Linked DNA regions of Bombyx mori. The protein of the gene in region 1 binds, or shares a complex with, the protein of each later gene. Links are inferred from orthologs where the notes say so. Each region holds a gene or a part of one and is shown on either strand. Other genes may lie near its edges. The genes, in order: protein suppressor of forked and cleavage stimulation factor subunit 1.

Region 1 (2,750 bases):
TTTTTAATTCAAATTTATTAAAAAATTATTTTATATTTTTCAGTTGGATTTTCTATAAAAGCGTATTATGTTAGTTTTTTAAACTATTATTTATTTTTAATTATTTAGATCAATTTCAATTTTTTAAAAAAAAATATTCAAGTACTATGTGGCGCAGAGCATGTCTTTGTGGCGAGGCTTGGGGGAGGCCATGTCCAGCAGTGGACCTCTGTGGGCTGATAAGAAGGTGACGCTCGAGGAATGTGGGACTTGAAAACGTATCGATTTTGAGGAAATTCCTGTGGAATCGATTTAAATCGAATCTTTTCTTATTTTTTTTGGTTTTTTTATTGCTTAGATTTTACAACGTAAATGCAGACGTCCACTTTGGGATATGAGTTCTAAGATTTCAGTATAGTTACAACGGCTGCCCCACCCTTCAAACCGAAACGCATGACTGCTTCACGGCAGAAACAGGTGGGGTGGTACCTACGTACCGTACGGACTCACAAGAGGTCCTACCACCAGTAAAAGAAGCTATAAACGTACATAGAAATGCGACATTACCTGGTATGGGGTGCTCCCCGGGTAGTGGGTTCGACTTAGGTTTGTACGGAATCATTTGGTTGGTGTCCGGACGCGCAATGTCTTTGTTAGGATCGTTGTCTCTGTAAACAAAATATATTGTTACTTTGGTAAGAGCAACGCCATCTATCGAGGAGTATCAGAAACGAACATCCAAAGAAACTAGTAACACCGAGAACGTTCCAGAAATACAACGCCATCTATTGTTAGATAGCGGAAGCACTCGACTTGCCCAGAATGTACTCGATAAATCTAGGGATGTCGTATCGACTATAAAAGCGTTGCAGATATGGTACGAAGTTAATTAGTAATCGGATCTACTCGAAGCGAAGCGGAAGAATTAACTACGAGTTTTAAAGTGTTCGTTAAGTGTTCTAAGTGTTAACACAGTTTTAATCTGTACTTTTGTGGAACCTTTATTTATCCCGAACCCCAGCGCGTAAGTATATTTATAAAATTCTAAATCAAACTTCGTTATATTAAACAAACAGACGAACGTCCGGAGCGGTTCCAAAGTCATTTATTAAGTCATATATACATATATATATTTAGTTTGCAATATAGAAATACTGAGGGACGATGTCGTATGATCGTTGTATGGTCTCGTCGTGCGTTTTAGCTTCAAATGACGTCACGCGAAATTAATTTACAGGAAAATTAAAAAGAAGTGTTTTTTCTTACTACCCTCCCGCTAGGAGCCTAGAGGGGTTATTTGGGCTGTATCAAGACTGGTAGGTGAGCTCACGAGGCTCCAGCCTGACGACGTTGCTAACACTGGCCCTAGCCAGAGAAAGAAAGTTTAGAGATGCTGAAACGACAAAAGGAAGATCTTCCACCGAGCGAGTGATATTTGCTCGGTAGACCGACGGTCCAAATGTTGTTGTTCGGAACTTGTATATATGCGCTTTTATCTTGAAAATGTCGTAAGCGAGATTCAGGCATCTGTCAATTATCTTGCGTTGTATGATGGCTACCTGCCACAAAAGAAAAGCAGGGTTCCATCAAATACATTCGCATGTGATTGTGATCTCTTTTGTAGAGATCATCTCGAACAATTCCTTAGAACATACCCCACGGAACACATAAAAAGCTCCGGAACATATACTTTTCACCTACCCATTTGCTGGTAGACCAAGGGGCTATCCCAATTACGAGTTAATGAGTAGGTGAGCTCACGGCCACGATCTGAGAGAATTAGCTAACACTGGCCCTAGCAAGAGCAGTGCTCCGCAGAATCTACCACCGGATTGGAATCGTGACCCATTGAGAAGATCCGGCGAGAAACTATTTTATTTTTTTATTGCTTAGATGGGTGGACGAGTTCACAGCCCACCTGGTGCTAACTGGTTACTGGAGCCCATAGACATCTACGACGCTTCAAACCGAAACGCATTACTGCTTCACGGCAGAAATAGGCAGGGTGGTGGTACCTACCCGCGCGGACTCACAAGATGTCCTACCACCAGTACCAGTGGGCTGTGTGGGTTAATAAAGCTACTGCGCTACCTCTGCCCCAGGATGACGGCCGCCAGCTCCGGCGAGATCCCCGCCAGCGGCCCCCCGAGGGCCCACGACTTGTTCGACATGGAGGCCACCTGCGAACCGAGACAGATTTCATTATCACGCATCAGCCAAACCGTCCTGCACGTTGTCAGAGACCTCGCCGCCAACGCGAGGAAGCACCGCGGCCCTATTGAGGCCTGTTCAGTGGACTGACCTCAGTGTACCCTATAGACTTCAGCTCGGCGATGCTGCACGGGTACAGGTCGAGGAACTTGTATCTGTCCACCAGCTGGGCCGTCTCTTTGCCTTCGAATTCTTTTATCTGCAGAAAAAATGTTGATTCAGATCATGTGTTATTTCTGTGTTTGTGGGAAATGGGTTTACTGGTGTTAAGACTTCTTGTGAGTCCGCACGGGTAGGTACCACCCGCCCTGCCTATTTCTGCCGTGAAGCAGTAATGCGTTTCGGTTTGCAGGGTGGGGCAGCCGCTGTAACTGTACTTGAGATCTTAAAACTTGTATCTCAAGGTGGGTGACGCATTTACGTTGTAGGTGTCTATGGGCTCCAGTAACCACTTAACACTAGGTCAGCTGTGAGCTCGTCCACCCATCCAAGCAATAAAAAAGGAAATTCTCAATTTCGATTTTAATACTTTAAACCTTAAAGAGCGCGCCGTAAAGCTT
Region 2 (3,835 bases), on another chromosome or scaffold:
CCAGATGTTCTCTAGAAGAGACCAGAGCAGACTTCATGTTTGAATCTCTCTCTTTTTTATACATAATATTTAGGTGTTCTGTTAAATCTGACTTTTGGTTTTTTTTTTTTTTATAAACAAAGAAACATAAATAAATAGTAACATTTTAGTGAGCATTTTTCGCGTACCCACAATAATTGTGGGTAGTCAACGTTCCGTCAGAGTTCATTGACCGCGCGTCAATTGAACATATTACATTGCGCGTTATATTTTTTTTGCAAAAATGTTATAATTCTCTATGACAGTGGTCGGAGTAGGTAGATTGTTTTTTATACTTGCGTCAAGATATTATAATATGGACATGCCATTTTAACCATAACGATTATTTTTTAAAATTGAAAAAAAATATTTTCAATCCTCATCGGATACAATTTCTATATTTATGAGATAAAGTAAAAAAAAATCCCTGTCTAAGTTTTGTCTCATACTGACAAGCATCATTTCTAATTCAACAGAAAGGGACAAAATACGGTGTAACTATTCCAAGGCGTTTTTGTATAAAATAAAATACTGATTTCTTTCACCATTAGCTAGCACTGGTAGCGTTGATTAATATTATTAGTACGTTTTTCACCTTAAACACAGATACATGCTAATTTCATAATTCCGGACAAATACATATCACAATAAGTAAATATGAAGTTCCAGTATTTTGGAGGCATATCCATATTATCCTCTACGTTTGAAGTCAACGACCTTAAATCAGTCTACCTACTCCGACCTCTAGTTATGGATCACCGGATCTGCGTTCACAATTCGAGCTCACCTTGCTGTTCTTCGTGAAAGCGACCGAGCAGACCTCGTATCCCTCGTGAGCGTTCGTGAACGTGTTGAAACATCTATTGGACACGGTGTCCCACAGCTTTATGGAGCCGTCAGCGCTGCCGCTCGCAAAATACTTACCGTTAGGCGAGAATCTGTAGAGAAAGCACAATAAAAGCTCCATATCCCTTTCCTGAGGAGACTTGGGTTATGAGAAAAACTGTATAACACTCACATTTACTAGACTTCACTTAAAATAGTCCAATTTGCATTATAATCCCATGTCATTGGGATGCCATTAGTCCAAAATTAGATGCCAAAAAGTTCACAACGTAATTTACGTAAAGTAACGTAACAGAACAAAGTTGTAAAGGAATTTTTTTTGGATTTACCCAACAACAAAAAAAAACTTTTTTTTTCCCCAAAATTATAAAATACTAGCGACCCGCCCTCGCTTCGCTTCGGAAACATTAAAACACACATGATACCAAAAAAAAAAAAAATTTTTTTTTTTAAAAAGTAGCTTATGTTCGTCATGGACAATGTCGGCTTCTAATGGAAAAATAATTTTTCAAATCGGTCCAGTAGTTTCGGAGCCTATTCGAAACAAACAAACAAACAAATCTTTCCTCTTTATAATATTAGTATCGATCTGATCATAAAATATTGATAACTACTGATACCATGCACCCCACGCTTGTTTTACAATAAAATCATTTTTTCTTAAACTATTTTTAATTCAAATTTATTAAAAAAAAATCTATTTGTTTGTTGGATTTTCTATAAAAGCGTATTTTGTTAATTTTTTTAAACTATTATTTATTTTTCATTTTTTATTTGAATTTAAATTTTTTAATTTTTTTTTTTATATTTTGAATTGTCATCGGCTCTTAATAAGTACGCCAAATTTCGAGTTAATCCAACGTTTTGAAGAGGGTCAAAATCATGTTCAAAGATTCCGTTACAAACATACGTCTGATGCTATTAAAAGCGTATTAAAAACAACTATTTATTGTGACGATGCAACCAGAATTCTATGCAGTCAGAGACCTAACTATTAAGTGACGACATTATCCATACAAAACTGTAAAAAAAATCGAATGACGAACAGACAGATGTGCGCATTTAAAATTTTATACTCACTTAATAGAATTGACGTGTTTCTTGTGATGATGAGATGGTATAGGGCAGACGAAGCATTGACTCGTAGTGACGTCATATAACCGGATAACCGGATGTGTCGTCGAGGCTATGATGTGATCTCCGAGGGGATGAAAGGCCACGCACAGTACTGGTTCAGCGTCCTAGGGTCAGAGGACTGTGTCTACAGTAGTCGTTGTAGGCAGACGAGCATACGGCCCACCTGATGGTGAGTGGTTACCTTCGCCCATGGACTTCAGCAATACCAGGGGCAGAGCCAAGCCGCTGCCTATCGCTTCATACTCTCCACAAGCCTCGTTTGAAGAAGGACATGTCATAGCGCTCGGGAAACACCGTGGAGGGGAGCTCATTCCAAAGCCGGATGGTACGTGGCAAAAATATCTCTGGAAACGCACTGTGGCTCCAGATAGTATGGATGAACTCTACGCCGGTGGCTGGCGGTGCGATGGTAAAAACGATGGTATCATCTCGAAGAATTCCTCAGAGCACTCCCCACGGATGTTCCATGTACAAAATGCAGAGGGAACCAAAGTCCCTCCGCAGACCCAGAGGTTCCAACCAACGTGTAGTATAGGACTCGAGGCTAGATGTAGGTCGGATCTGTGTCTGTTTGTGTACGAGAAGAGCTCGGGATCAGTACAGAGCTGCAGAGGACTGTGTCTGTAGTAGTGTAGTATAGGACTAGAGGCTAGATGTAGGTCGGATCTGTGTCTGTTTGTATACGAGAAGAGCTCGGGATCAGTACAGAGCTGCAGAGGACTGTGTCTGTAGTAGTGTAGTATAGGACTAGAGGCTAGATGTAGGTCGGATCTGTGTCTGTTTGTATACGAGAAGAGCTCGGGATCAGTACAGAGCTGCAGAGGACTGTGTCTGTAGTAGTGTAGTATAGGACTAGAGGCTAGATGTAGGTCGGATCTGTGTCTGTTTGTGTACGAGAAGAGCTCGGGATCAGTACAGAGCTGCAGAGGACTGTGTCTGTAGTAGTGTAGTATAGGACTAGAGGCTAGATGTAGGTCGGATCTGTGTCTGTTTGTATACGAGAAGAGCTCGGGATCAGTACAGAGCTGCAGAGGACTGTGTCTGTAGTAGTGTAGTATAGGACTAGAGGCTAGATGTAGGTCGGATCTGTGTCTGTTTGTATACGAGAAGAGCTCGGGATCAGTACAGAGCTGCAGAAGACTGCGTCTGTAGTAGTGTAGTGTAGAACTCTCGATGCATACCGTAATTGATTTAAAGGCCTTCTTCGCTGATGCTTTGGTGATGTCGAAGAGCTTGATGCAGTTATCCCTTGATGCCGACACTAAGATCTGTTCTCGGGGATGAAAATCGAGCGCTGTAATTTCATCAGTGTGGTCGTATCTGCGTAAAAATATATATTGCTTAGATGGGTGGACAAGCTCACAGCCCACCTGGTGTTAAGTGGTTACTGGAGCCTCTAGAGATCTATAACGTAAATGCGCCACCCACCTTGAGATATAATCTCTAAGGTCTCAGTGTAGTTACAACGGCTGCCCCGCCCTTCAAACCGAAACGCATTACTGATTCACGGCAGGAATAGGCGGGGTGGTGGTACTTACCCGCGCGGACTTACAAGAGGTCCTACCACCAGTAATTACGCAAATTATAATATTGCGGGTTGAATCTCCTAGTCATGATTGTTCTTATGGCGACCTTAATCTAACAATATCGCGCGCCAATCGTGGTTTCGGGGACGCAGCTTTGAGACTGACTCCTCAATATTTCTGTTGAGCCTTCAGAATTTTAGTTTTATAGGAAAAATGGAAATCGGCACGTTAGACTTTAAGTGGCTCTTAGCAAGGCCGCTTTAAGGTACAGCTATAATTGCCTCATCGTCTAAGTTAGTAACATCGCC

The links.
Region 2: the proteins of protein suppressor of forked (region 1) and cleavage stimulation factor subunit 1 are in contact, whole or in part, in a crystal structure (PDB 6B3X), measured with the Homo sapiens proteins. The link is inferred for Bombyx mori from reciprocal best matches to the Homo sapiens genes CSTF3 and CSTF1. Residues at the interface, in NP_001317.1 of Homo sapiens: Tyr581, Pro582, Lys583, Pro584, Asp585, Thr586, Gln588, Met589, Ile590, Pro591, Phe592, Pro594; in NP_001028693.1 of Homo sapiens: Arg118, Glu216, Ala217, His226, Pro227, Ser228, Asp230, Phe231, Thr240, Arg242, Leu243, Tyr244, Cys251, Phe252, Val253, Ser254, Cys255, Tyr270, Ser272, Ser273, Ala274, Asn275, Gly291, Val292, Ser293, Asn294.

What each region holds. Positions count from the first base shown.
Region 1 is NC_085129.1:20,048,154-20,050,903, reverse strand, and holds part of protein suppressor of forked, read right to left. Parts: intron 2,390-2,750; coding exon 2,282-2,389; intron 2,160-2,281; coding exon 2,071-2,159; intron 648-2,070; coding exon 547-647; intron 1-546. UniProt on the Homo sapiens protein: One of the multiple factors required for polyadenylation and 3'-end cleavage of mammalian pre-mRNAs.
Region 2 is NC_085130.1:10,343,642-10,347,476, reverse strand, and holds part of cleavage stimulation factor subunit 1, read right to left. Parts: intron 3,322-3,835; coding exon 3,183-3,321; intron 2,106-3,182; coding exon 1,945-2,105; intron 957-1,944; coding exon 806-956; intron 1-805. UniProt on the Homo sapiens protein: One of the multiple factors required for polyadenylation and 3'-end cleavage of mammalian pre-mRNAs. May be responsible for the interaction of CSTF with other factors to form a stable complex on the pre-mRNA.